Coturnix japonica: one gene and its partners. Each later gene encodes a partner of the first gene's protein in a complex. Links are inferred from orthologs where the notes say so. Each region holds a gene or a part of one and is shown on either strand. Other genes may lie near its edges.

Region 1 (3,904 bases):
GCCAAGAAGTGAGACTACTTCCAGTCAGAAACTCAGGATACGGATTGCAGCACCATGCAGTGGTACTGGCTCTGATGCTGGGCATATCAGTGGCTGCTGCTCCAGATTCATATCTTACAGCATTCTCTGGTAACTGCAGCCACCTAATTGGGTGGCAGCGTAAATATATCCTTGTCTGCTGCTGAAAATAGCATGCAAGGCTTCGGCTCATAAGCACATCTCAAAATGTCTAAATGAGTTCTTCCGCTCTGTTGTCTGCACTGTTCCGCTGCACGGATGACTAATGCACTTGTGAATCACAGCAGATCACCACTGTGCGAGCAGTTTTTTGAAGCACGCTCAGGCATTGCAGTTTGCCCAGAGGTTCTAGTGGTTCAGCAGCTGCTGTGTATACGTGTTAGCTGCCCAGGGGCTGGGGTCACACCCATGACTGGTAGCCACATCAGCTGTCTGTGGAATCCTGAAGCACTCAGCTCCAACCTGAGGGTAAACACTGCCCTTACTAATGATGAATGTAGGTGTTAGCCTAGATGTTTTGGCAGGATGGGATGAAGAAATATGGACGAGTGAAATAGCTACAGTGAGTATGTGCCTTTGCATATCTTCATTAACAACAGGGTGGTGGTGAGCATTGAGCTGACATTTGCTTCTGGGGGAGTCACCATGATGGTAAGCTGTAGTGCAGCAGGCAAGAGTCTGCAAGAAACAATGCAGAGAACCCCAAATTTGTCACCAAAATGCTCCTTTTTCAGGCCACCTCTTTTCTTGTAGTTTGGGTTTCCTCTTAAGGCAGAACTCATTTTGAGGTTGTGGACCCTGCATGGAATGTCTTCAGCCATTCCTCTCATATACGTGTTTGGAGGAGATGTGTACATTGTTTCCTGATCCAGAAAATGGTGATTTCATGCTGAGCCTTTCATGTGGGACATTGAGCACCCCTGAGGAAAATACTGTGTATAAACTTCTAAATCAAGACTTAGGCTAAATAAAAGATCTGAATTGGGGCGTTCTGCTAGAAATTACTTAATTTTTGCTTATAAAACTTCTGATTTCTAAACTCTTCCCCAGACTTGTCCTTCAACAACATTGAAGTAATTGAGGGCCTGGATAACCTTGTCAAACTGCAGGACCTAAGCCTCTACAACAACAGAATATCTAAAATTGAGAACATGGACACATTGCGTGAGCTACAGGTTTTCTCCATTGGGAAGAATAACCTGACTACTCTGGAAAATGTGAGTGCTCTCTGGCTTTGGAATTGCTCCCTATCAAAGGATCAGATATTCCAGATCTGATGTTTACCACTGCTTCCCTTTGAGGAGAAAATTTTCCTTACGATTTCATTTCCTCTGAAGCCTAAATTATGGTTTAGGTAAACTATCCAGCTGTTAAGTGCTTACTTCAGCTATTTCACTTATAGGTTATTCACTCATGAGGGCTTAATTTTGTTACAGCTGTCATCTGTGGCAAAATTCCTATTGGTTCCCATGAGAGAAATAAATAGTTACATATGAGGAAAATAGAGAGTGGAGTTCAGGCTATATTTGCTGTTCTTTTTGAGGGTAGTTTAACAGCCTAATGCCCTGATTTGTCCACCACCCAACTAAAGGCTATCTCTCCATTCCCATCATTTACATAGTCATGATGTAAATTTAGGTATTTTCTTACCCCAAAGCATCAGAAACTTCTAATTTAGCTTTGCCTGTGTTTGGCAGCTAAGCACGATATGTACCGCAACATAATTGTGCAATTAATGAGCAATGAATTTCAAACCCAGCTGTTTCCACAGCACTGGTAAGCACAGCATCTCTTTCCCTTCCAAACAGGTGGTCTATCTCAGGAGGTTTAAGAACTTACACTCATTGAATCTCACTGGGAACCCTTTCTGTGATGAAGAGCAGTATATGCTGTTTGTTGTTGCTCACCTTCCAGGCTTGGTGTACTTAGACTTTAAACTCATTCCTGACACCACAGTAAGTATTTCTGCATATCCTTCTTGTGAAATCGGACATGAGTTCCTTACAGAGCACTGGATTTGTTGGTATGCTCACAATGTTCTATCATGATGGGCTGATTCCCTGGAGAAATTAGACCTATGGAAACACACACTATTTGTTCCTTCTCCACCTAACAGCTTTGAACCTGTAGGCCAAATTCTGTCAAATTTGACAGAGGTAGAGATGTCAAAGGTATTGTACCTTCACAGGTTTTGCAAAAGTCAGCAGCTGTGTGTGGGAGAGGAGCCTGCTTAATATTGCCACAGAGATGCTGCAGTGTGAGTGCAAGACTACTTAGAGATCAGAGAATCGCAGAGAGAGAATCTCAGAGGAGATCAATCTTGAGACATGAATTCAGAGGAAAGCAGGCTTGGTGGTCCTGCTGCTCACTGAGCTATTTGTTGCAGTAGTAGACTGACACGTTAATCAGGCAAGCAAGTGCCATCCAAATGCACTTTCCTTTCCTGATTTTGAAAGCAAGACTGTACATCAGCACTGGTAACCCATGGGGCTGCTTTCTGATCCCAAGGCTCATTTTTTCTTAATAATCAAAGAATATGTTTCATTTTAAGCTTGCTTGGCACAGAGCAGGAGCTGTTCTTGGAGTGTACATTACTCTTAGTATAGGACTGGAAGGGCTTTCCAGGTCATGGAGTCCAGTCCCTGACTCATACAGATAGTATGTCATTTAATTGCATGCTTAAATTTGTCAAGCTTCGATTGTGAGCTAATTAGGTTCTTGCCCCTGCTTCTATATTGCCATCCCCTCAGAAGAACCATCTTCTCCCCAGAAATTGATAAACTCAGTAACCAATTCATTCAGAGCTCAAATTCGAAGTCAAAACAGGGCCTCCTGCTAAAACAATCAGAAAAACAACACTAAAGATGAAGAAAGTGGGGGATTAAACACTGCTTGAGGCTGAATTGGATACACTGGGTGCAGAGGCAGAGTAATATGACAACAAAAATGGGGAGAGGAATAGATTAGAAACTTTAGAAGTAGTTTAATCGAAGGACCACAAAGAAATGGGGATGCAGATATCATTCAGATACACCTTCTGGAAAGATGGAATGCTTACACCTAGATTTGTTGGGCACTGTTGGGTAGTCTAATAATGTTTCTTTGCTTTCCTCAGCGAGAAGTTGCCATTTCAAATTACCAATACCTCACTGACCTGCTGGAAAATGAGGAAGCCGAGGCCCTGGCTCAGCTGGAGGAAAAGCAGGCACAGCAGAAGGAGCTGGAGTACTACAAGGTACTTGTTCTTTGGCTGGTTGTGTGCTGTCTGGGGAGGAAGAAGTGCAGCAGATATTGACTTCTCCTTCAGATGCTTGAAGCTCTAATGAGAGGTTAACACTGGCTGTGCTAACACTAAGGCTAGGATTAGTCTCTGATCTTTGAATCTCTTATTTTGAATGAAAACAGGAACTGCTGTGGAATACATATGATTTGAGGGAACATATTTCTTTTGGCTGAACAATCAGGCTGCAGATATAGACCCTTAGAAGCTAAATAGTAAATCGTGCCCAAGGATCTTATCAGCTTAATGTGAGATTAAGAAAATTACACATCTGAGGGAACTGTTAGCATTTTCATGGTGCAGTGACTTCTTTTCTCCTTCACACCAAGTTGACGCTTTTTATTAGTTTTATGGTTAAACTGTTCAGGGCTTTGAGATCACTGTAGTTCTCTGAGCAGCCTGAAAACCAGGCCAAGGAGAATGGTGATTTCAGCCACAATCTGGCTTTGTGCTCCAGCGTGCCGGAAGACCAGGCTGGCTGAAGAGCAGGAGGAGGTTAAGTGACGGGAAAGACACCTGCAGCTCTTCCTTCTGACCCTCCCCCAAGTCCACTCATTCTTTATCTGTGAGGCTGAATAGCCTTGTAACATATGGTTGTATGTGAAA
Region 2 (2,752 bases), on another chromosome or scaffold:
CCTTTCAGATTTAAGTCCTGGCTCCAGTGCTCTCCTCAGGGGACGCATCAGGTTCTCACGGGCTGCCTTGGAGCGTTTCCATGCCCTGTTTCCAGGATGCTATTTCTGGGCTCTGCTCTCCATGGTCCCAACGTAACTGCTCCGTGTGCTGGTGGCAGCTGCTGTGGGGCTGTTAACAAGCATCTTGTCTTTGAGCAGTGCTGCAGTGGCACATGTTGGGCTGCTGCTTGCTAACAGAGCCTAGGTTCTGTGGGAGGGTCTCATTCGGCCCCCTGTGCACTTCCCCAGAGATGGAGGCCAGGTACAACAGGAAGATGCAAGCTCTGCGGGATCAGCTTGACCTGCGCCGAAAGACTGAGATCCATGAAGTCGAGGAGAGGAAAAACAACCAGATCAGTGAGCTGATGAAGAACCATGAGAAAGCCTTCCATGACTTCAAGAACTACCATGAAGATGTCACCTTCCAAAACCTGGCGCTCGTCAGCTTGCTGAAGGTAATGCCTGCCTGCTCTCTGACCCCGCTGCTGCAGCCCTGTTGTGTAGTGTCACCAGGGAGCTGGTCCAGTAACTTGCCCCAGATCTGGCCAGTTCCCTGGTGGAAGTCCTGGCACTCCTGTTTTCCTGGGAGTTGTACGACATTACATGAGCAAAGTTCTTGTACACAGAGAGATGTGGCTTGCTGGGCCAGCACTGGGAGGGTGTTGGGACTTGGGAAGCTGTGAGGAGCTGGGCAGACCCTGCCTATAGGAACTAGCACTTGTGTTCCCAAAAACAGGAACAGGTGGAGGAGGCGAAGCAGAGAGAAACTCAACTGGAGAAGGAGAAGGCAGATGCCTTGCTTCAGAACAAGCAACTGAAGGAGACCCTGCAGCAGGCCCAGGAGCTGGTGTTTGAGCTGCAGAAGAAGTTGGCCCACTACGATAAGGACAAGGAGGCTCTGATGGTGAGCTGCCAGCCCTGCTGAGCCCTTTTCTATTCTTTCCTGGGTCACTTTGGCTGTTTCCTGGCATTGCTCAGCAGTGACCTCTGCCGCTCGGCTGAGAGCTCTTCGGCCAGACTGCTGGGCAAATGCACTGGGGTCCCTTTCAGCTTATTTGGATGCGTGTAAGAACTCAGACAGGACTCCAGAACTCTGGCAGCAAGAAAGAAGAGCAGACCCTGCTGCAGAGAGGGAAGGGTGTTGGTGTGGCTGTAGCTTGTGTTCTCTCAACCCCATTTCTTCTGCTGGTTGCTCTCCCCCTTGCCAGAACACAGAACACCCATCTCCCAGAGAAGTCTTGTAATTGTTGCCTCCTACTTGCAGAACACAAAAGCCCATCTGAAAATCAACCAGAAGGAACTGAAAGACCTTCAATGGGAACATGAAGTGCTGGAGCAGCGGTTCTCTAAGGTGAGATCTGCAGGTGGGTCTGGCCATCCTGTTTCTCTCTCCAAACCCTGTCCCCATATAGAGGTTTAGGCACTAGGACTTTGCAGAGGCTGTTTTGTGCTGTACTGAGCTGGAAGCTTTCCAAATCTCTAATCCAGAGCGGCGCATTAGCTGCTACTTCCAACAAGGCTTATCACAGTTTTGGCGTCTCCTGTGCTCAGCAGACAGGCTCAGCCTTGTACTTCACTGAGCAATCATGCGTGTGCTGATGGTCCCCTCCTGGCCTGCTGGTGGGAGGCTGTGGCACTGGGTCAGGAGTGGAGCTGCATAGAGAGGCTTCTGCTACAGCAGAGAGAGATATGGGGACAGTATTTCCCTCATTCTGCTAGCATGTGGATGTCACTTCCTTGCTTGTCGTGCAGCCTCTTCAAGGAATATTCTGTTGACTGAGTTCTCCCAGACTGAGCCTCTCCCTTGCAGCTAACCCAGATAAATGCATTGAGGCAGAACAGAGCTCATTTGCAATTCGTAGAAATCCCCAGGAATATGAACACTGATCTGAGGCCTCGTTAACAATCCATCATTAAGGCAGGAACATATTCAGTGCAGTCAGAAATAGGCTTTGGAGGAGAGATTCTAATTAGGACACTTATTAACTAGCTGTAAGCCAGGAACTCCTGCCAGCTGCAAGGATGGGAGGAGAGACCCCTGCATGCTGGGGCCCCTCTGTGGTCCAAAATAGTGCCTTGGGACAGAGCATAGAGGAGGATGGAGTCAAGGCCAGGCTGAGCAGAGCGTGGTCTCTGCTTCTGTGGGAGGACAGCGAAGGCCAATTTACTCCCTTCTGGAGCTCAGGAAGTGCTGGGGTGGGGGGGGCTGCAGCAAGCCAAGATATCCCAAAGGGTCCTGAGGATGGTGTAAAGCTGTGCCATGTTTTGGAGCAGGTGCAGGCAGAGCGAGATGAGCTCTACCAGAAGTTCACCAAAGCCATTCATGAAGTACAGCAGAAGACTGGGTTCAAGAACCTGCTCCTGGAACGCAAGCTGAAAGGACTCCTCGATGTCCTGGAGAAAAAGGAAGTGGAGCTCAGCGAGGTCTTTGCAGCCTCCAAACTCGATCCAGGAGCCCTTTCCTTGGTCTCACAGAAGCTGGAGGTACTGTGCACTGGTGCAGGGCCCTCTCCTTTCCCCCTCTTGAAGGGCAGAGGCTGCTCTGGGGAAAATGCAAACCTTGGAGATGTGAGCGTCGTCAAATTCTGAGGTCTATGGGCAGCGTAAGGGCAGAGCCTGGTTGTGTGGCAGGAGACAGTCCCTGTCCTCTCTCTGCACTGTTACATACCTGGCTGTGTGGCCAGTCCCCAGCATCAGCACACTGCAAAAGCAC
Region 3 (4,677 bases), on another chromosome or scaffold:
TCAAATTCAACCCTTTAATTAACATCATAAAACCAAAGGCAAGAAAAGATACATATTTAGAGCACTTTGAAAATACAGGACACTGTACAGTGTTTAAGTACATTTAATGTATACAAACATGAAGCACAGATAAATCTTGTGAGGGTGGTTAATTGCGTTCCTTGGACTAGCAGGAAATTAAAGCATAAACATAAAACACAAGATTTAGAACACGGGTTAACCCAGCTCTCAATCTTGTGACACTCTTAAGCAAAACAGCACCCTTCATTTTCCATACTGACTGGTAGCGAAATGCTGTTGTTTTCTACAGAACAACACTTACTTGATTTACAGAGAAGGCAGCACTGTTACTGAGAGTGATTAAAGCTTGCTCCTGAATTAATGGATCATCTGTGGCCTTGAGCAAATGAATAAGCTTCTGTAAAGTATCTGCATCCATGCTGTGGGGTGATGGAGGAATTTCTTCCCTCACTGTTAAAAAAATTAAATAACACCAAGTTTGAGATATTTCACTTAGTTACCAGTGAATGCTTTTTTAGCAAGTTGAGTTTAGCAATTCTGCTGGTTTCTCCCCATTGCCCTCGTTCTATTGCTGCATGCCACTGAAAAGACTTTACCCCCAGTGACTCGACTCCTGTACTTCAGACATTTATACACAGCGCTGAGATCCCCCTCCAGCCTTCTCTTCCCCAGCTCTCAGCCTTTCCTCCTACAGGAGGTGCTCCAGGCCCCCACTTCATGACCTTCCACTGGACTCTCTCCACTAGTTCCATGTTTTTTGTGAACCACATAGCCCAGAACTGGACACAACACTGCAGATGGGACCTCACCGGGGCAGAGCAGAGGGGGAGGATCACCTCCCTCGACTTGCTGGCCACAAACATGAACGTGTTCTATGTTTCACAGGATCACAGAATTAAAGGGGTTGGAAGGGACCTCTAGGGATCATCGAGTCCAGCCCCCCTGCCAAAGCAGGTTCCCTACACCATGTCACACAGGTAGGCGGCCAGCCGGGTATTGAATATCTCCATAGAAGGACACTCCACATCCTCACCGGCCCCTCCTCACCTGAGGGCGGCACACGAGTCTCTCCCCGCCGCCCCGCTCGTCCCTTCGCCCTGTGCCACCGGCAGTAGCAGTAATAGGCGCCGGCTCCGAGCACGACCCCCAGCACGGCCGCTCTCAGGCCGGGCCGCTCGTCCATCTTTACCGCCCGCGGAAGCCGATGCAGCATCCGGCGCCGCCCCGCCGTGCTGAGGGCTGCGGCTCCGGCCCGGCCTGTGAGCCCGTGCAGGGCGGCAGCGGCTCGGCTCTTCCTTCGGCTTATTTTTACAACAACAAAGTGAAAGTACCGACATCTTAACAAAGCACAGTGCTGGATATACACCACACTCCCTCCCCAGTCCCTCTCCGAGCACAAACAACCCCCAAGGGCTACTCGCTGCCTTCACTTTTTCACGGTGAACCAACGCGTTTGGAAGGGGCGGGGCGGGGCGGGCAGGTCCGGGGCAGCACCTCCGTCTCAGCCTGTTGCTACGAGACCGCGACGCCTTGCGGCCATGGCGGCCCCACGCGGCGGCGGCCCCGAGCTCCGCGACTACCTCAGGCGGCACGGCCTGATCCGGGTGTACGAGGTAAAGGCCGCCGAGCAGCCGGACTCAGGTGGAGTGATGGGACAGGAGTAAAGGAGCTTCTGTGCAGCGCTGAGTGGGGCTGTGCCACAGCATGACGGGCTGGGGGCTTCAGGATACTTCCCCAGTCTGTTTCTTAAGGGAAAGAACCAGTTATAAAATCACTCTATAAGATCCTTTCATCCTTTTCTTTTCACGTTTCTTAGGTGTTGGTGCTCAATGATGCCTACATTGTTATTTCTTTGAGAGGTTTGTATGGAGATAAATGATACTGGCCTCAGTATTAAGGCACACCGAAGCGAAGCTGAGTTCTATTAACATCTATGTCAATGTTCGCAAAATTAAGAAGGATATGAAGTTCTACAGTGGACATTTGCTGAAGTCATTTATGGTTATGTTGTGGTTTGGACATGATCCACACACAGTTGGTGCCCAAATAGTCATGTCCAAATAACTCAGGATTCCCGGCTGCGTAGGATTCTTTCATTCCTGTGTGATTTCTCTCTTTCAGATCTCATCCAGATTTACTTTAATCGGTAACCATAAAACATCAGGCAAAATGAAATAAATGGCCCAGATTGGAAGGGACTCAAGGATCATGAAACTCCAACAGTCCCAACCCCAGGCAGGGAGACCAACCTCCAATTTAATACTAGACCAGGCTGCCCAAGGCCCCATCCAACCTGGCCTTGAACACCTCCAGGGATGGGGCATCCACAGCCTCTCAGGGCAGCCTGTGCCAGCACCTCACCACTCTCATTGTAAAGAACTTCTCCCTGACATCCAACCTAAATCTTCCTAATTCAGCTTAAAACCATTTCCCCTTGTCCTGCTGTTAGCCACCCTTTCAAAGAGTTGGCTCCCCTCCTGTTTATAGGCTCCCTCAAAGGCTGTGTTTAGGTCACCCTGCTGGCTGTTGTGTATATTCTGTGTTTTAGACCTTTCAGGATATGAAAGGGAAAGAAAGCTGTTGTGTTCACATCCAAGGGAAAAAGAAAAGAGCGTAAACGAAGCCTTATACAGTAACTGGAATTCATATGGCAGACAGATACTGGATTGATCCAGGAGGGGGAGTAGCTGAGCAGCGTTAGGCTTGGCTTTGGGAAACCTGTCTTTAGGAGAGCTTCTGAGGAAAGTTATTTAAAAGCTTAGGTATTAATTAAAATGGTGTTTTTGTCATGAATGACAACATTACTGTTAGATTCATAACATTTTCTTAATATAATCCCCTATCAAGGTATACATAGAAACTTGTGTTTGTATTAAGAACGTTATGTTAAAGTTGTAAGTAGTGGGTTGAGAAGTATTACCAAATATTCAGTGTGTGTAAACTGAAGACAGTTGTCCTTCATTGTCTGTGCATTAAAAAACTGTTTTACATTGCTTTATTGTAGTGGTCTTGTAGGTACGTAAAGAAACAGCACATCCTCATGGCCAAAAATCTCCATTACTGTGCTTCTATGTTATAACTGTTAGTGATCTCTCTCCTGACGCTGCTCTGCAGTTACAAATCATTTGAGTCAGCACAGTGAGAAAGCCATTACATTAAGATATTGAGTTGATCCAGCACATATGAAGAAGTTGCTTCAGATAATTCTTTCTTTTATATTTATTTAAAAAAAAATTTTGTTATTTATACAGGTCCATTGTTTCATAGTAATAACATGAGGAAATCGACATGGATGTTGGAAAATGAAGTATTTTTACCCATAGGATGCATATGTATAAATAAATGGTTTGGAAAAAATAAAGATAAGTGGCAGGGATTTGGAACCTGATGATCCTTGGGGTCTCTTCCAACTCAAGTCAGTCTATAATTCTATGATAGTGAGTTGCAGTCAGAATCTGAGCGATGAACTCCCAGAGGTCAGCCCAGACTCTGAATGGCAGAAATTAGACATAGGGAGTTAGCACCATCCAGCTGCACCATGGAGAACAGCTGTAGGGGGAAGTGGGTTGAGACAAAGAAAAGCAGGTTTTTAAAGGTCAGGGCTGGAAGAAAATCTAAAAGTTCAGATGCTGCTTTTGTGCTGTTAAGAGCTACTTTATTGGTAACCAGCAGAGGGAACTATAAACAAGAGAGTAAGTCCCAGGATAACATCTTTTGCTTCAATGTGAATTAGTATCTCATTAAAGATGCATAGTCATGTTCTGAAATCTTTACCTGGAAATAGAAGCTTTCTAGTTTATAATATTAATTTAAATAACCAGAGTTTACCCGTATGCTTTTAAATATCAATATAATTTAGAAGTTCTGTAGGTGAACTCACAATCCAAAAGTAAATGAGCTATAGATTTTAGATGAAGACATCTGAACACAAGTGAGAAAAACTGCTCATCAGTTATTCTGCAGCACTGCTAAAATGTAATGCAAATTCGTAAATCTTATCATCAGTATCTTGTATTGGTTACAGGATTGGTATCTGGTCATGCTTCCTAATTCAACATACTCTATGCAGCACAGAATTAATCTTGCTTTAAATTGTGTTTTTCATTAGATTAATAAAATTATCTTGTCTTATGGATGCTCTTTCTTGGATGCATATTAAAAATGGAATTCCTAGTAGGAATATTTGTGGAGATACCATGTATTTAATTACTGTCCTAAACCTGATTCTTTGAAGACTGGCAACTGAAAATTCTAATGTATGCAACATTCTATTAAAGATATAAATGAAATTAAATATAAGTGATAAAAAAATTGCTCTTATTTTACAATATTTTTAAAGTAACTTGTAATCTTGAGTTTATTTTAATGGTTTCACATTTAGATGATCCTTTACTGTTACCACAAAGGCATTAATTTGAAGTGTCTTTTTCAGGCTCTACTTTGTGGTGTAATTGTTATGCGTCCAGAAGACCCACTTCTATTTTTACAGGAAAAGCTCAGAGAAATAATGGAAAAGGGAACAGATGCTGTTTTATGGTATGTATTAAATGTGTGTGTGATGGTGGTTTATAATGTTGAACCTGGCCTTTTAAACATCCTAAGGTCACAGTATCTACTGCGTAGACAGCAAGTAAAAAGTAAATACTAATGGCCTAT
Region 4 (4,476 bases), on another chromosome or scaffold:
TACTGCTGAGATTGATGGGAAGATGATAAAATAAAGTGGCCTGAGTGAAATGACTCTTACTATTTCATGTTCACAATGGCTCAGATCTACACAAAAACTGCTGTAGAAATACAAGAGTCTCAAATTTCCACAGCAAGCAAAATGTATTTCAAAGATGAATGTTGTCCATATTTTGGGCATGGGCTGGGCATGAAAATCTGAATGAGTGGAAAATCAGTTTTTAAAGCATTCATTAGGGGAATCTTGTGAAGACTTTGAACTAACATTCATTTTTTATAAATACATCAGCATTTGTAGAATTGCTCTGCATGTCCTGTGATGAATCAGGTGATCTGGAAAATGACACAGGGAATCTAATCCTTGGGCACAACACTGAAGAACATAAAATTTCACGCTGAGACGATGAGAGAAGTAATAAGCAAGCTCTGTGTTTGTCAAACAATGTATTTTGTTCTTCAGTTTCAAATACATCTACCACAACAGATCAACAACCAGCAAAGACGAAGGTTTTGTGTTTGGAGACATTGAAGGAACAAGAAAGGGGATTGCATCACAGTGAAAGATAATGGCCTTTCCTTCTGTTACTGTTACATTCTCTAGATTAGGCTTTTGCACTGTTATCACTCAAACTTCAGTTATCTGCTTGAGAGGAAACAAATCCACATTACCCATGTAGTCAAAACACATACTTGGAAGTACTCAGTTACTTTAATAAACTGTTCAAGTCTATAGGTAACCATTTGGAGGGATCAACTTTGTTAGAGAGCATAATCAGCTGTTTTCCCAAGAGACTAACACTGTACGCTCTGTTGGGTATATATTATACCCTATATTATACCCTCTTTACTCTGAGCTACGCACAATATAAACAGTATAAACAAATAGCGCCTACTGCGGGGAAGACAGTGCTTTGGTTCTAGGAATTTCCTTAAAACATTAGTTCCTATGAGTATATGGTTGCATCTTGTTGGTATGCTCATATTTGCATTTTCTCCACTTCCACAATCATTTGTTCAGAAGAACTGCGCATTGCAAGTACATCTGCTAAAATACACGGCTATATTTAAACTGCGTTTTATTTAATATCGCTGAGAATATTTTAGCTGTTTCAAGAGTGACGATATTTAGAATAAAATGTTCTTTCACTTTCTGAAGCTCAGATGCAGAAATCTCTGCAATTGCTGGGAAGACTTTTTTTTTTTCTGTGAACCAGCAGATTGCTGGGGCTCGTCCAAGTCTCCCTGCCAGGACAGTGGTGCTTGTGCCTGCCGATGCCACCCGTGCCAGGTGTGTCTTCAGCGGTGGGTTCTGTCACTTTGCCATGACAGGGAGTGACACCCCAAGCATTACTGGTCCCAGCTGGGAGGGAGGGTGGTGGGTTACAGCTGCAGCCTCCATGCCTGGGATCCGTGTTTGGGTGCGATGGATGTTTTGGAGCATTAGCACCCAGGACTATGGCTGTCACTCACTGCTCTTGAAACCACGCAGTGCAGTAGTTAGTGCACTCAAAAAATCACTGCACTGCTTCACTCAGCTTTTATATGCTTTTTATTTCAGCGGGCCCGGTGACTGCTTCCCAGGGCGGAGGGCTGCCAGCTCAGGCCTGGCGCTGGGGGCCAGGGGAGGCCGCGGTGGAAGGAGGGGAGCGCCCGCCGGGCCGCTGCGCCCCGCGTCGCCACGGCGACGGCTCGGGGCTCGGCCATGGCGCAGGCGGTGAGCAGTGACGGTAAGGCCGGGCACGGGGCCTGCACAGCGGCCTGCGGGACGGAGCGCGCCTGGGAGTGGGAAGCGAGGGGCCCAGCCTTGGGTGACGGCGTGGGGCGGGGCCAGCCCTCCGCCAAGGAAAAGCGATCCCGGCTGACTCTCGGGGCTCCGGGGCTTATTTTTAGAGGGAGGCGTGTTCTGCTTCAGGAAGCGCTGCCAGAAAGTGTGATTGAAAGGCGAGAGGTAACTCCTCCCGCAAGGGTGTCCCAGCGTCGTTTCCAGAAGGTTGTGCACTCTGAGCAGCTCGTAACAGTGTCGCTTCTGAGTGCCGTCCTTTGTGTAAATAAACACGAGAACGTGGTAATAAGTCACAGATTGAGAACACTGTAACTAATAAGTTATTTCGTATTAATGAGTAAAAGCACAATTTTCTGTGAAAAACCCACAACAAAAAGTTGTGGGTAATGCTGAATGAGGAGTTTTTCTGATTGCTTGATCAATAGCTTCTAATGCATTTTTTTAGTTCGAATGTAATTTTAAAGAAGTTGAAGCGCCGTCTTGCTGAAGACACACCCTTTTGTTGATTGTTTTTTAATTACTAGAGGTAGTTTATCATCCTGTAAAGAGCTGTTCCCAGGAGACCACCACAAGTTATCTGCTAGAGGGAAACTGTGCTGTCAAGAATTCCATTCCTGGCCCTTCCTGACAGATCACAGGAAGGTGGCAAGCTGGGCTTTGATTTCCTGCCTGTAGGGAGAAGACAATGACTTGTATCTCATGGATAGTGTGAAGACAAGGCATCTAGCTTCCCTTTGGACACTCATGAGAATCCTACACTTTTATTGAGCAGATGATTTCCTTAATGCCTCATAGAGGTGTCTCATCACCAAGGCAAACTAATATTCAGTGTCTCACCGAAGTGCAGAAGCATCCCATAAGAGGAGATGGCTTATCTCCATGTCAGTTGCTCTTAGACCTCCTGCAGGTAGCAGTTAGGGGGCTGATTAGAATCCTCAAATCCTGGATTCATGCAGCAATTGTGCTTCTGACAAGCATTTTACATAAACACAAACTGCAGCTTTTACTTTGTTGTGTCTCAAAGAGAAGAACAGCATTAGTTTTATTGTCGAATAATTAGTCTTTAGGGTATTCCCCTTGGTTCTTGGTAGAACTGTAGTTCCACCTGCTTTTGTGGTAAACGTTTCCCTTAGGTCCTATTATTTTCAAGTTTGTCTTCATCAAAGTTAAAATGCTTACCTTAATGTTTAACAGATATACTGGATGTACACAAGAAAAAACAGTGTAAGGCCAAGTCTTGCAGCCTCTTTTGCATGACATTGATAATGTGTTACCCTCTAGCTTACATAATTGCGAATAAAATCTTGCATGTGTGTGAGTGCTAATATCATGCCCATGATATATGGAGCTGTATGTTTTATGCATGAATTTGTATTCCTGCATTTGTGCTTTCAACGTTATTTAATTATTTTTTTTTCTTTATTCCCATCTGATTACATTACACTGCTTCATCTTTCTCTTTTGTGTATTTGTCTGTATCTTTCTTCCCATCGTTCTGTTTCTTTCCCCTTTTTTGCTACTTAATTCCATCTGTCTGTTCTTCCATTTGTTCTCAGGTACTTTCTTTATAATTTCACAGAACGTGTCAGATTTTCTAAGTTTCCATCTCTCTGATCTCAGTGCCGATGTTACTAGAACCTGAAAGTAAAATGTCAGACCAGTAGTGCCTGAAGTAAAACTAGATGGAAGACAAGACGTATTTTTCTCCAGCTGGGATTTAAGAAATTACATGGAAGTACATAAAAGAGAATGTTCAGTGTGGCTTTATCATTATGGTAATACTGTGTATGTGATCAGTATGAGAGTTTTATACACACTGTATTCTTTGTGCTAGTTAGCACATACTTAAAATACAATTAATAAGTCATGAATTTGAATCCAAAAGGAAGTAGATGAAATATTCTGAGCTCCTGTTGCACACCTTTATACCCATACAGAACTGGACGACTGATTCTGGGTAACAAAGGTCTTCCAGAAACATAACTGATTGTGATGTGAAGACTTAAGGAGATGGTTTATAGCCATTCTCTGATGAGGATTTTCTCTGGTAAATAGTAGTGATTCTGGGGAATTTAACTTACTGCTGCAGTATGTCATTAGTCCTCACAGATCCTTTTCCCAACTTGTGAAAAACTCACAATAAGGTTGTTAGTGGAGATGGGAAAGAGTTTTTACCTCTGCTCTAGAGCCTTATGAACTCTGCTGAACTCTTTCCAAGAGATCCCCGTCTTTTTTGTACTGGGGAGCCCAATACAGACACAGTACTTCAGATGTGGCCTCACCAGGGCAGAGGGGGAGGATCACCTCCCTTGACCTGTTGGCCATGCTCTTTTTAATGTACCTTTTTGGCCACTGTCGTCTACCAGGACACCCAGGTCCCTCTCAGCAGAGCTCCTCTCCAGCAGGTCATCCCCCAACCTGTTCTGGTGAATGCAATTATTTCTCCCTAGGTGCAAGACTCTACACTTGCTTTTGTTAAACCTCATCCGGTTTCTTACTGCCCAGCTCTCCAGCCTGTCCAGGTTTCGGTGAATTCTGCCCCTGTACTCAGCATTGGTGAGGCCTCACCTCGAGTACTGTGTTCAGTTTTGGGCACCTCAGTACAAAAAATACATGGAGGTACTAGAGCAGGTCCAGATAAGGGCAACGAGGCTTGTGGAGCACTTGGAAAATCAGCCCTATGAGGAGAGGCTG
Region 5 (4,610 bases), on another chromosome or scaffold:
GCAGACTTAATGTTCTCAGTATGATCTATCCTTTACTTAAAATAGCAGTATCCTGCCATGGAAACCTACCTTGATACATGTGGCAGTGCAGAGGCCAGGGAGAGAGTCTGAGAACTGAACGTGTCACTGTCCCTTCTGAAATCTGCTTGCTTTTGAGGCAGGAGGATTGTACAGGTCTCCAGACATATGCTAACATAAATCTCCCCTGTCGTACAGAACAGCACTTGCATTCCCTGTATACGTGTGTTGCAACTTATATACCCCTCCCGGTCACCCTGTGCCACCTGTAGCCCTTCAAGTGCTGTGTGTTTCTTCCTCCAGGCTGAAGAGAAGGCACAAAGCCTGCTAGCAAAACACTGCAACCAACCTGTCATTATTGATACTGTCCCAGCAGACTCCCTGTCTGTAAGTAAAGCACATTATTTGTTGGCCCAGCAATACTTAAGATGCTGGATGCAGCCAATGGTAGCTACGCAGCAGTCTCCTGACTCTGCCTTTTCCTTCCTCTCTTAGATCCTAATGAAGGTAGTGAACCAGCTTTGTGACAAGTCACCTGGCACATCAGTCCTGCTGCTCAGCCCTCAGGATTCTGGGGAGGTGCTCTGTGCCTGTCAGGTGTCCAAGGTAAGCAGAACCCTGGCAGAATCCCAGGGAAGCCTTCCTGCAGAGGAGGACTGGGTACACTACTCACTAGGTCCCAGCTGAATTTTTTCTTGGGTTTCTACCCAGTGTCACTGATGAGTTATGTTGAGGAATGACCCAAGATGACTGTACTGGGGCCAGATAATCTTTCAGTTTTTGCTGGGCACCAATATCCCTGGGTCATCCAAGACATGTTTGCCCAGTGGTAGGATGTAGAGCTAACACGTAAGCTCAGTCTCCTCTCAGTCATGTCTTCCCCAGGTAGCGAGGGTCCAGGCTGGGTGAGGGGAGAAAGATGTTCCTTCTTCCATGCTGCAGAGTGCTCCACAGACCAAAGTGTGTGTCTCTTCCCCAGAATTGCCTCCCCATGTTCTCCGCTGCTGACTGGGCCGTGGCTGTCTGTACACAGATGGAAGGCAAGGCAGGAGGTTCTCCTGTTGTCGCTAAGGGCAGTGGAAATGCCAAGGGCATGCAGGGAGCCCTGACTACTGCACTGGAATTTGCTCAGAGTAAACTCTGAAATGTGTGTGATGCTTTGGTGGCAGGACAGCTGTAAGCTGTGTGGATACTTGATGCAGAGTGCACGTTATACTGTGCAGAAGGTTTGACAATTCTCACAGTGAGCCCTGCTGCAACCACTGCATTGGAGCACTTGGTGTCTGGCCATCAGGGCTGAGCAGTGTCTGTTCCTGAAAGCACTGACAGAGCAACGCTGTATGTTCTCATCATGGGTATATGGTGATTGAGCCTCAGAAGGCACCAGCTTCTGGAACAGTGCAGTTCTTGCCACAAGACCAGCACTGGGAGGTTCTGAGAACATGACTGTCGTATCCCAAAGTTATTAAAGGATGGAGAGTGTTTGATCCCTCTAATGTTATGTTGGTGTTTTGTTTTTCTTCATATCCGCACCTTTTTCCCTGTAAGCCCAGAAAGCTTATATATGCTGTAAAAATAAATATATGCTGTAGTCTAAGCAGTCCCATCTTGCTAAAGGATACACCAGTCCCTGATAAAAATGCTACAGTAACTTAGAAATGGGAAGAGAAGTTCTTGCCTGTGTGCACAACCTTTTGCCTAGCCTATGCAATGGTTAGTATTGTAGTCAGGCCTTTTTGTTAAAGCACAAAGGGAACAGAATCATCCTGACCTCCACCTCTTTGCTCTGAGTGCACATTCTTACACATTTCTTACTTCTGCTCCTTTTTAAATCCTTTCCTCTCAGGTTGCTTCCTCAGACTTCCATTGTTAGAATGACGCCTGGAGTTCTTGGCCAGAAAACCTTTGTGTTACAAACTGGCCTAAATAGAGAGGTCATGGGTGGTAGCTGATAGGGAGGTGCAACTGGGTAGTGATACAGAAAGGCTTCACCCTGTGAGCAAGAACAGCAACCTGGCACAGATGAATTTCAGCAGCAGATAGGGCTGCCTGGTGTGGTGGAATTAGGAGGCAATAGCTACATGCTTTAGGGGGTGGGAAGAACAGTGATGTTAGTGGGTGAGGAGCAGAAAGAGGGTAGTTATGTTAGGATGTTTGATGCTATGGAGGAAGGGTACCCCCACAGTGGTGAGGCTGATGAGCTAGGAAGTGAATTTTTAGCAGATTTGGTAGACTGATACAATAAGCTTCTGGTAGCTGAGAGCAGACTGTTAGGTGGCCGAGGTAGGCAGGGTTCTAACAGTGCTGCATGGCTGGAACAGAACTGAGCTTCACGTGCATGACCCAGCAATAACCCTTTGGTCAGAGGGATACAGCAGTGCACTTGCACACAGCTGCTACTCTCAGCTTAGGTTTGTAGGGCAAGCTCAGCAGGCTGATATATTTGCCTGTTGCTCAGTTGTCACATAAATAAGGCAAAGTAAAGAAGATATAGTGGGAAATGACTGCTGTGAGCACGGCCTCCTCTCCTCAATGAACAACAGTTGACCCAGGGGAGAAAGGTGGTGGATTTAATTGTGTTTAGAGGATGAGGGATTTCCTTCCTCATCTCAGCAGCTGTCCAGTCCCAATTCTAAGACTTAGTGTCACTCCTACACGTCTTTTCTTAGTACCTGTGGCTGTGTAAAGAGCAGGAGCTCGCACTTGGTTAAGTGCCTGATATTGATATGAGGTTGGTGGTGCTCCATACTATCTTGCGTTTCACCATAGTGCTGACAGCCCCTACATCTGCAGCAAGAGGATAGACCTTCTCCTCCATTAATCATTACTTCCATCCAGGGAGTTTAAGGTAGAGCTTTTAGTAAAGGAGACAGCGAGCCGAGGTTCCTGGACATCAGGATGACTGGGACAGTTCACGCCATCGGTTAAAAATACTGTTAATGCCTGTTGTGGAACAGCTGCTGTGTTTCATCCCAGCCACAGCAGTACCAGGTATGGGGAAGGGAAAGGATGCTCTGTGTTACTGGGAAAATGCTTTTCTTGATTGCTTCCTCATTCATAAAAGCTGCTGCTAGAGATGATGCCTCCTCTTGGTACTGGAGAGTAGGTGTGTGAGGAGGAGGAGAGGCTGAGCTGCTTCTGCATCATGCTCCAAAAGCAGAGCCTGAGCTTGCCAATAGCAACCTTATGGATTTAACCTCCCTTTGTGCTTTTTTTGTTGTTTAATTTCAACTTTAAAACTACTGGCACCTTGTAAATTGTTGCCTCACCCCTTGATGTGCAGGGATCCGTGTGCTGACCTTCAAGGTAATGTCTCTGCAGGCAGAGAAAGTGCAAGTCAAGCCCCCACCAGTGTTCACCTGGCCAGCCAATGGCTGCTGCAGCAGTGACTTCCAGAGCAGTGGTGGTGTCCTCAGGGGCTTTTTGAAGGACTCCTCTCCACTGCAGGATCTGATGGGCTCTCAGCACTGGGGAAGGAGCCTGCTGAGATGAGTGGGCAGCAGTGACACAGCTTCATGGCTTCCTAGCTCTGCTATCCCCCTCCTGTATTCTATGGGAAGAGTGGCTCCCCAGATACAAGGTGGCAGAGCCAATCCCACCATGAGAAATAAACCCTGGGTGTCCTGAGCAGAGGCACTAAGGAAAAGTTTCCTCTTTCTGAGCCTGCAGGGATTTAGATGGGTCATCAACAAGGTTGCAGCACAACCAAGTTGTGATCTTGCTGTAACTCTGTAGCACAAAACCTGCTATGTAACCGAAAGAGAGAAAGCATCTCATCCTACCAAAGAGCAGCTGTGTGGAGGCACCGGTTTGGTAGCATGGGCTGCTGCAGTAGAAATGCTGGTTTCTGAGATGTGGCTGTGCTGGACCATCACTGATCCTAAAAGAATAAATTCCATGCTATTCTCCTAAATCCCAGTGTACAGGACTACATCCTCTTCCTGCCATTTTTATTCCACAAGACAACACGCATCCAATGCTACGGACATAGCCACCATCTTTCTGTATTTTAGCAGTAGGTAGAGCAGTGCTCAGCTAGGAGAGCTGGAGGGGATGAAACATGAGTTTTAAATATAGATCTCTCGCCAAAATAGCAGCTTGCATTCCCTTACTAGAGATCTAAGGTGCAAGCAGTTCTCTGTGCACGCGTTGCAACTCCAAACAGCACGGGCTGCATGCACACACACACACACAGGACAGTGAAAAGCAGGAACTAGTTAATAAGTGATGAGTTTTTTTTTGCTGTGAACAGGTGCTGTCAAGTAGGCAACTGCTCTGTAAGTCCAGATGGACCCCCAAGGTCCTTGAAGGGCGCATGTGAGTGCCGGCCCGAATTCCAGGCAGCTACCTGACTTTGTGTGAAGGACCAACCACACACATTAGGCCTTGCCTAGCTGGAAGAGCTGCACAGATGGGATGAGAGCTGGGGCTCTGCAGGCTACATAACCCTCTAGCCTAGCAGCCATGGGTCCCTGTCCTGCTCTCTGATAGAGCAGCAGACCCAGCACAGGGCTGGGGTTGCAGGGTAGGGAGCCCTAGATGGATTGGGAGTATCTCCAAAGAGAGCCTGCTAGGGAGGGCATCAGGAGTAC
Region 6 (3,904 bases), on another chromosome or scaffold:
CCATCTTCATTGCAGGAGAGTTGGACTAGATGGCATTGGATGCTTCCAGGTTTGGCTCTACTGCAGCAGCTCTGTGTCCTGCTGAGCTGCTCTGGGGGCTGACGTGGCCCCAGGACCATCACAGACCCTCTTGTATGGAGGGTAAGTATATAACCAGACTGTTCATCTCAGCAGCTTTTGAGACATCCGTGTTTTCCAAAAGGAAACAAAAGAAGTGGAAACGTTTAGCAGTTCATTTGTGTTCTATTAGGAAGAAAAAAATGAGCTGAGCCAGCTAATACAGCCTTAATTAGCATCTCATTAAGGCTGAAAATACACACAAGCAACATGCGTGAAGCAAAAACCATGTTTTTCTGGTTCCATGATGAGATTTGCTTGGTTTTGTGTTCCCAGCCACTGGACTGGAGACAACCATGTAGGCTTTTGTCTACAGGTCTGTGTATTATTCCTGTTCAGAATAGTCCAAAATCAGCAAGCTGTATTTCTGCTCCTAATTAGTTGGCGAGGTGACAAATAATTGTGTGTCTGTAAAATTGCCTATGGGGAAATCCCATATGAAGCAAATAGAAATTATTCTCCCTTGGGAGACTGAGTGAGACACCGATATTTTTGGCACAGGAGGAAAGCAGTACTTGAAAGTCGTCTCGTCTTTGATTTGTTATCAAAGCTGAAGCTATAAGGAAGCCCAGAAAATGACTTTTAAGCTGGAAACATAAAACCAGAATCCCAGATGAGCGCAGATCCCACTTGATGAGGCAGAAAGCAAGAATCACATTAGCAGAAGGTACTAAAACACACAGAGAGGAGCATGTCTTCAGCGTGGGAGCTACATGTTTGTATGACTTAGAGCTAGGAGAGCTGCAAGGCAGGACAAAGTGCCAGATTCTTTTCTTTCAAGCCTTATATAGCTCTGACCTGGCCTTTCTTCTGCTTGTATCTCATCACACACTCTTCTTCCTCACCTCAGCAGAAACAGGTTAAGCTTGCATGTTTCTGCACCGAGCTGTGTGCTTTTTTTAAGCATGCATGACCATTGAGTCTGAGCTGTCTGGTGAGCATCACGGTGACCAGGGATATGCCATTTAATTGATCTGCACTTGTGCAGCAAGTCTGATGTGTCCAGAATGCCCCAGATTTACTGTGTGTGCACAGACAATTCACACGCTGCAGACAGAAAGGCTGAAGCTTTCCACACAGATAAAGTCAATGGGGTGTGTGTAGTAACATTGATCTGCCCTTGCACAGGGCTCGTGTATTTGGGATTTTGTTGTATGTGGAAGCCTAGGAAATAGATGCAAATTACAATATTTTCCCCTGACAAAACTGCAGGTAGAAAAATAGCGTGTCCTTGTGCCAATTCTGACACTTTATTTCTTAATCCCTCACTGTCAGTCTTTCTTCTGTGCTAGGTGTCATGTCTGCATCATTAAGTATGACCGAACCTCAGATCCTGCTGTCTGCAGCTCATCTCTTCCTTCCTGGCTGCAGATGTAGCAGCACTCACTCATGTCCTTGCTTTGCAGTGTTTCTGAGGTGTTCTGACTTCCTCACAGCCTTTCACAATTATAAGCACTTTGAGTTTCTGCTTGAATAGCACTGAACAGCATTCTTAAATTCATCAATAACTACATTCAGAATGTAAGTCTGTGCTGCAGTTATACTATGTTCTTAAATGATGGATTGCTACATATGCTGTGTCCTCTCATCTGAGCACTAGTTCCTGGGCAGCAGGAGCAAGCTTGCTAACACACTTCCCCCTGGCATGATGCCTGGTGTTAAGTAATCTCACCTGAAGTTCTATTTCAGTTTCTTTCTTGACATCTTGCAGCTGTTTCTGGAGTGACTTTATCTCCTTCTTTCCTTCCTCTTCCCTGAAGGAAAATGGGAGAATACAGTCACTTGAATGCATCTAAAAAAACACCCCATGAGCTGTGTACGTAGATAGGGAGTTTTCAGATTCTTTATACACTGCTGCACCTAGTGAACGCTGCCCCAATTAACCTGCTCATCCAGCACCTTTGTTACAGCTGAACTAAAAGAAGTGAGAAGTTTGCCCTGCTTCAGTGCAGCGTAAAAGCTTGCAGCTGCTCCCAGTGTCTGAGGAGCAGAAAAGGTATTTGTGTCTTCACTCTGAAGTTCAGTGTTGAAGGCAGCACGTCTCCAGATCAGAGGGATCTCTCAACAAAGTTAGTGACTTGGTAAGTAAATCCTGAAGGAAGAGATGTATGGATTGAATAGGGAGGATGGGAATGAAAGGGAAAGTGAACCAAAAACAGGGAGAGCCAGGCCAAAACCTACAGGGGAGTTTGACAGTTTAAAGCAAAAAGGATGAGATAATGTTGTAGGTCTCATTATTTTACTTCACTTTGAGGGCTTTTCCAAGCTTTTATGCTTATTGTTTGATCTAAAGCCAGTAAGAAGAGTTGCTGCCTGAGGCTTTGTACCCTACCCCCACTTTACAGGCAAACATGCATTTCATTTTTTAGGTACTTAGCTGGGCAACTCTGCTACAGGAGCTCCTGATAAGGAGTCTCAGCCTTACTGCAGACTGCTCTCAGACTGGTATATTGACACAAAACCAGACAAGTATATGGTATATTTAAATACAGATCAAGTTCATTCAATGAAAAGAATGTGCAGTAGAACAGATAGCACAGTGCTTAGATATGGTTGATATAATGGAATAAAAAAATGATTAAAATTTGTATGCCCCCTTTCTAACTCCAGTGTTGAACAGGGATTCCACAAGCAACAGCTGCTTTCATTTTTTGCTTTCTGACCCTTCCTTGGAGAAACAATAAATCCCTTGGTTTTAGATGCTGGAAGTGGTGGGCTTCACGTTCAAAAGACAATTGCCTCTGCCACCATCTGTGCTAACCCTGCATTGGAAAAAGGGAGCACATTAGCATTTGGGTCAAAGCAGATTCTCCTGGGCATCGTATAACCTCAAGTCCGTATGTTGCTGACCTTGGTTTGAGCAGATTATTTGCTACTCTGGCTTCCTCTGGGGACAAGGAGTTGAAGGTCAGAAAACTCCTCCATCACATTATGTTTTAATTGATATGGAGCAGAGTTTGCATCAATGCAGACACTGGTGTCCGCTGTGGTCCAAGCTCAGGCAATTCCCAAGTCAGATTAGTATTATTACAGTCAGTTATTTTCCTCTCCAAGGGCAAATGCAATTTGTGAAGTAGTCAGGATAATTCAAGCTGAAAAGGGATCCCTTCCATATCTTGATGTAGAGTTTGTTTTTGTTTTCCTTTTACATTGTATAATGAGGGAAAATGAGCTTTGGCTCTAGGTCACTAATCAGAAAAGTACAAAGCACAACTCTGACCTGATGAGGATGTCATTCAAGTTGCTTTTCTTTGCTTTCTCTCTCCCATTAGCTTCTATTAGGCTATCAAATGTTCCCGATTCCTCCATCTTCTTCATAGTGGCTGTAATTACATCACTCACATACTGCCTACCAGGGAGAAAAGGAACACAACAGTAATGTATAGGTGTACACTGATAACACGGAGTCTGGCACCTTTATCAATTATTGCCCTACTGCCATAGGGCTTCTGTGTACCCTACAGAATAACTGAGATCATGAGATCTCATGGCAAGGCCATGGTGCTCCCCTTAGATATAGCCATTCTTAGATATAGCCACAACTGGGGAACACTAGCAGTGGGAGGATGAGAAGCCTGTATTTTGCTTTGCAGAGGTAAAGTGAGAACTTTACAGCTCTGAGCATCCTGCACAGGCATCACACTTGTGCTTCACTTACCTGTCAGCCTGAATTTTTCTGAGATATTCTGCAGATGGAGCATTGGGTTTCGTGGCCCTTTTGGAAGGATGTTGGGCTCGTTTTGGATCCGCAGAGTTCCCCAGCTGCTGCTTCTGTTCAGTGCTTTTC
Region 7 (4,418 bases), on another chromosome or scaffold:
AAAGATAAAGCACATGGAAGAGGACAAGAAGAAGATTGAACGTCACCACCAAAAGCTGATGCAGCAATTTGTGCAAGAACAAGAGATAAAAATAGAACGGTTTAAGAAAGCAGCCGAAAGGTTTGAGAAATCCCTGGAGGTGATCAGCCGCAGAGGTGGAAAGTCGTCTGCCCCTGCTGCTGCCGGCCAGGCTGCGAGCACAGGGACTCAGCACAACGCTGCTGAGTGAGAAGGGATTGGGAAGAACATCTAGAGAGCTCCTCCTGCAGGCTGTGCTGCACTGAAAGCTGCGTTTTCCATCTACGTGCTTGGATTTTCAGCTCATCCTTCCTGAAAGCCAGCCTGCTATAACAATAAACAACACCGTCCCTTGCTGTCGGGTGTTCCTCCTTTTATATACATGAAGCTGATGTGGTGTGGGGGCACTGTCTGGGTAGCAGCGCAGGTGTAAAGGGGAAAAAAACCCTTCCAAAGGATTGCTTTCCTCTGAGGCAATAGAAAAGTAATGTAAAGCCAATAGAAGATATTTTGGGGCTTGTGTCTTTCCTTTTTGGAAAGGATGCAAAACGTGTGTCATGGCTGCTTGGATCAGAGAGTCCGAGGGTGTAAATGGATCCTTCACTGGGAAAAGGATTGGTAACTTAAGGCACACACAGGACAGACAGTAAATTGCTTCTTTCATGCTGGCATTGGAGATGGGCTGGTGTTTGCCTACATCAACTGGATGGAGTGGATCTAAGAAGTGTGCTGAAAAACAAGGAAGTGGCAACAAGCAAGTAATGCAGCACAGCTTTGGAGGAGCCTGGAGGTTGTTAGACTGGGGTGGCTTGCACTGGGTCTTCCTTGTTGGAAAACACTGGGAGAAATTGTCATTTTGTGAGCTTCTGAGTTTGATCTAGACACATGTGTGATCAAATAGTGCTTGTGTTGCATCCTTTGGCACGCTGGGTCTGGCTGATTCCCAGACCTGGTTGTGCAGAGTTTGCTGCAAGGGTTTCTGCTCATCAGAGCCTGGGAGACGCTGATCAAAATCACATGCTCTGATCTCAATGCCCTGACACCTCCATGCAGTTCTGCTGCCTGCATCCAACAGCAGAGGGTGCTGGTGGCTGAGGCTGGAGCCAAGGGCAGGATACATTCCAACATCAGCCAGCATTGACACCCAGCCCAGGACCCAGCTCCCACCTGTAACAGCGAGCAGACAGCATCTGGCCGGAGCTGTGTGTACAATTAATCCCTTCCTTCACCAAACAGGCTGCAGGGACACAAGGACCCGGGGCACCCTTTGCTTTCTATGGCACTCCGAGTGCCACCGCCCCTAAGATGGCCACACAGCTACGTCAAGGCCTCTCCTCGTTTTCTATTGAGTAATAGCGCTGCCCGTCAAGACAGCGAAGGCGCTGAGTGGTTCGAGTCGTGATGTGTGTCGGGAAAGAGCCCGCAACAAGCGGAATCCTAGCAACAGGGGGACTCCGGTGGCAGCACGGTCCGGCTCCATAGCGGCCTTCCTTCGGCTGGAGGCCGCACGGCGCTGCGAGCCCCCAACCACAGCCTTGGAGCACTGCAGAGATACAGCCTGATCTGCCACAGCTGCTGCTTAGGAGCTGGGAGCTCTCACCGCACCGGCTTCAAGGCCAGGAGCCCCTCATGTCCCCCCTCCCCACAGGGGTGCTCATGGCCCTGGGTGCTTGACAGCATGTGATATGACACCCCCCCCAGCACCCTAAGGACGCTGTTTCTCTCATATTCTCCTCACATTTTCCTTTTAGAGATCAAAACTAAAGAGGATTTTGCAGCAGAAGCAACAGTGGTCTCTCACTGTGGGCCTTGCCCCGTGTAGGAGATGCTGTGTCCCTTCTAGACGTGAAAACAATTCACTCCTAAGTGTTTAAGTGTGGCAGCAGGGAGCCCAGCTGTGCTCTGAGTATCAGTGCAGGACACGAAGGAAAGAAACAAGATCCTGATAATGGGAACAGAGGCTGCAGAGAAGGCGATGACCACAGTGGACTCCATGAAGGGCTTAGATCCACGCCGGTTGAAACCTAATTGCTTTGAGACAGAGAGAATCCTATCTGTCTTGGATGAGACCATCGCCAAGTTGGAGCTGAGCTCCTTGATCCCACTTATTATCGGCTCTCTGGACAGGTTTGCTGACCTGCTGGGACCTGAGATCACAACCAGCCTGATGGAGTACAAGAAGCTTTCAGACCAAATGGAGCTGCTGCTTGTTGCTGCTGAAGAAGGGGACATCTCAAAACAGGAGGAGCAAAGGGTTGCTCTCCATTTGCTGGAACAACAACTGAAATGTTCTGTTAGGAATATCCTCAGGCTCTTCTTGGCCGTCCCTTCACTTTGTAAGGCTCTGAAATATGAAGTCTGGGCAAGAGAGCCAGCAACTGAAGCATTTATCAAAGCCTTCAGGGAGTTCAGGAATTTTATGCTTGAGCGACTCCTGATTAGTCCCAAGGAAGAGGAAGAAACAGTTCAGCTGGTGGAAGACGTCTCCCTCCGGATCAACAAGAACACTGAAACCATCACAGCTTTGCAGGCAGAACTGGCAGCAGCAATCAGGACCCGAGATGAGGAGGTATATGAGAATGCTTGGTGACAAAGGGTCGCTGAAGCAAAAGCTGAAAAACAAGCCCTTTCTGACAGGTCCTAAAGGGGAGATTCCAGAAATGATTTCAAAATCGGATTCTAAATAGAATTTGGAAATGTTTCTTGAATGCTTCGTGTTGAAACTTGGCATGTTTTGAACCTGTTCTCACCAGCCAACTTCAATGGAGCAAGTTATTGAGCTTAAAAAGGAGCTGCAGGACAGGCACAAATGACTGCAGTAGTATTTTAGCAGGGCTGCCGTGCCAGCTGCCAGGGAGAGGCTCCATTCACTGCTGCTGACATGATGAACAGTCATTCCAGGGAGAGATTGTTCTGATTAAAATCAGTTTTTCATGCCAGCTCTACCTTCGCTCTTAAAACTAACATTTGTGAGACTTCCAACTCCAATACTGGCTACCTTGGAGATCTATAATGAATGTGTGATGACACCATTTCTTTTCCAGTGAAGGCAGCTGGATGGATTAGCTAATGGGCATTTCCCAGGTTCTTTTTGTGAGTCCATGAGCTGAGCCAGAATTCAAGTCCTGGATTCCTGACAAGCCATCCCTTGTTTTATGTGTGTGCTTGTCTTCTTTCTGCAGGAGGGCTCAGAGGGGAAGGTTTTGTCTCGTGCTCATTGCACCGAATGGTTCTGATGGAGATGAGGTCTGTGAATTGAGACACATGAGATTTTTACGTTCACTTTCTTACCAGTGCATAACAAGTGTGTTTCACTGCCCCCAGCTGAGGATCTCTCTTGCTGGCAGCCCCTCTGAGCTGTGTCCTCCAGGCAGTCAATCCAAGCCTCACCTGAAGCCAAAGGGATGATCTTGGCTCCTCTTGAGACAAGGCCGGCTTCTTTACCCTGCAGTGTCAGTGAGTCTCAGTACAGCCTGGTCATTCTATGGCTTTATTCTCAGGTTCAAGCACCTTGCATAAATCTGACTCTGTTCCCTCATCTGGTCGTGCCAGGTCCCTGTTCTTAGATCACCTCCACCTTTGCGACTGTGTCTTTTTCCTCCTGACCACTTTATGCTTCACCTGCACACCCTATTGACATTTCCTTCTGGTTTTCTGTGTCTAGATCCAGAACAAGGACAATATGATCAAAGATCTCAAGAACAGCATGGAAACTGTAGATGAATGCAGCAAGGACAACCTCCTGCAGATCAAGTTGGAAGGTGAAAAACAGCAGAAAGAGGAGCTGCGAGCTTCCCAGGCTAAGTGTGCCAGGCTACAGCAGGACATTCAGCAGCTGGAGGAACAGCTCAATAAGCTGATCCTGGAGCATCGAGTATCAGAGCTGGCTCTCAGGAAGGTAAATGGTCAGAACTGTTGTAGAGCTGCTTGGTGTGGCTGCAAGTGTCTATTTTGTTCCTACCATTTCCTGGCAGGATGCACACGCTGTTTGTCAGAATATACCTGTGCTGTCCTCGTGCTCTGCTGATTTCAGCAGAAAGGAAGCCTGCAGTGCTGCTGGGGAAGTCGCCTGCTCACAGTTCCTCCTCTTGTTCCCTGACCTAGCTCTGGAAGTTCCTCAAACAGTGCTGTGATGCTGCACGACAGGGAGGTTGTGCTCTAGCCAAAGTGCAGAGGCTGGGCAGGTGACAAAGCATCAAATGCAAGTTAGAGCCATCCAACTGCACCTCCTTTAATGCTGTGGCTTTATCAGCCTTTTTTCTTTTTCTTCTATTTTTTTTTCTTTCCTGAGGCAGCCAGGCTGCTGCAGTGATCATTGTGAGGAGCTGCTCAGCTCATGCAGAGAGATTTACTGGCCACAGAGATCCCCTTTCCCTTTCCTTAGCATGTGCTGTACCCCT

The links.
Region 2: DRC3 (region 1) and GAS8 share a complex: the UniProt entries of both Homo sapiens proteins name them as parts of the nexin-dynein regulatory complex. The link is inferred for Coturnix japonica from reciprocal best matches to the Homo sapiens genes DRC3 and DRC4.
Region 3: DRC3 (region 1) and FBXL13 share a complex: the UniProt entries of both Homo sapiens proteins name them as parts of the nexin-dynein regulatory complex. The link is inferred for Coturnix japonica from reciprocal best matches to the Homo sapiens genes DRC3 and FBXL13.
Region 4: DRC3 (region 1) and EFCAB2 share a complex: the UniProt entries of both Homo sapiens proteins name them as parts of the nexin-dynein regulatory complex. The link is inferred for Coturnix japonica from reciprocal best matches to the Homo sapiens genes DRC3 and DRC8.
Region 5: DRC3 (region 1) and TCTE1 share a complex: the UniProt entries of both Homo sapiens proteins name them as parts of the nexin-dynein regulatory complex. The link is inferred for Coturnix japonica from reciprocal best matches to the Homo sapiens genes DRC3 and DRC5.
Region 6: DRC3 (region 1) and IQCG share a complex: the UniProt entries of both Homo sapiens proteins name them as parts of the nexin-dynein regulatory complex. The link is inferred for Coturnix japonica from reciprocal best matches to the Homo sapiens genes DRC3 and DRC9.
Region 7: DRC3 (region 1) and IQCD share a complex: the UniProt entries of both Homo sapiens proteins name them as parts of the nexin-dynein regulatory complex. The link is inferred for Coturnix japonica from reciprocal best matches to the Homo sapiens genes DRC3 and DRC10.

The regions. Positions count from the first base shown.
Region 1 is NC_029529.1:4,996,460-5,000,363, forward strand, and holds part of DRC3 (dynein regulatory complex subunit 3), read left to right. Parts: exon of another isoform or gene 1-505; coding exon of another isoform or gene 506-584; intron 585-1,068; coding exon 1,069-1,235; intron 1,236-1,826; coding exon 1,827-1,973; intron 1,974-3,133; coding exon 3,134-3,253; intron 3,254-3,904. UniProt on the Homo sapiens protein: Component of the nexin-dynein regulatory complex (N-DRC) a key regulator of ciliary/flagellar motility which maintains the alignment and integrity of the distal axoneme and regulates microtubule sliding in motile axonemes.
Region 2 is NC_029526.1:16,811,109-16,813,860, forward strand, and holds part of GAS8 (dynein regulatory complex subunit 4), read left to right. Parts: intron 1-288; coding exon 289-494; intron 495-775; coding exon 776-943; intron 944-1,303; coding exon 1,304-1,390; intron 1,391-2,313; coding exon 2,314-2,523; intron 2,524-2,752. UniProt on the Homo sapiens protein: Component of the nexin-dynein regulatory complex (N-DRC), a key regulator of ciliary/flagellar motility which maintains the alignment and integrity of the distal axoneme and regulates microtubule sliding in motile axonemes.
Region 3 is NC_029516.1:11,600,095-11,604,771, reverse strand, and holds the start of FBXL13 (dynein regulatory complex subunit 6), read left to right. Parts: upstream 1-1,526; 5' UTR 1,527-1,559; coding exon 1,560-1,634; coding exon of another isoform or gene 1,635-1,662; intron 1,663-4,453; coding exon 4,454-4,557; intron 4,558-4,677. Other genes in the region: ARMC10 (armadillo repeat-containing protein 10), read right to left, coding at 323-471, 1,069-1,234. UniProt on the Homo sapiens protein: Substrate-recognition component of the SCF (SKP1-CUL1-F-box protein)-type E3 ubiquitin ligase complex.
Region 4 is NC_029518.1:31,176,233-31,180,708, reverse strand, and holds the start of EFCAB2 (dynein regulatory complex protein 8), read left to right. Parts: upstream 1-1,374; 5' UTR 1,375-1,701; coding exon 1,702-1,726; intron 1,727-1,925; exon of another isoform or gene 1,926-1,947; intron 1,948-4,476. UniProt on the Homo sapiens protein: Component of the nexin-dynein regulatory complex (N-DRC), a key regulator of ciliary/flagellar motility which maintains the alignment and integrity of the distal axoneme and regulates microtubule sliding in motile axonemes.
Region 5 is NC_029518.1:27,141,356-27,145,965, forward strand, and holds the start of TCTE1 (dynein regulatory complex subunit 5), read left to right. Parts: upstream 1-1,742; 5' UTR 1,743-4,610. Other genes in the region: AARS2 (alanine--tRNA ligase, mitochondrial), read left to right, coding at 322-405, 514-624, 998-1,162. UniProt on the Homo sapiens protein: Component of the nexin-dynein regulatory complex (N-DRC) a key regulator of ciliary/flagellar motility which maintains the alignment and integrity of the distal axoneme and regulates microtubule sliding in motile axonemes.
Region 6 is NC_029524.1:13,171,038-13,174,941, forward strand, and holds part of IQCG (dynein regulatory complex protein 9), read right to left. Parts: coding exon 3,776-3,904; intron 3,467-3,775; coding exon 3,338-3,466; intron 1,872-3,337; coding exon 1,790-1,871; intron 1-1,789. UniProt on the Homo sapiens protein: Component of the nexin-dynein regulatory complex (N-DRC), a key regulator of ciliary/flagellar motility which maintains the alignment and integrity of the distal axoneme and regulates microtubule sliding in motile axonemes.
Region 7 is NC_029530.1:9,594,296-9,598,713, reverse strand, and holds the start of IQCD (dynein regulatory complex protein 10), read left to right. Parts: upstream 1-1,314; 5' UTR 1,315-1,966; coding exon 1,967-2,587; intron 2,588-3,682; coding exon 3,683-3,916; intron 3,917-4,418. UniProt on the Homo sapiens protein: Component of the nexin-dynein regulatory complex (N-DRC), a key regulator of ciliary/flagellar motility which maintains the alignment and integrity of the distal axoneme and regulates microtubule sliding in motile axonemes.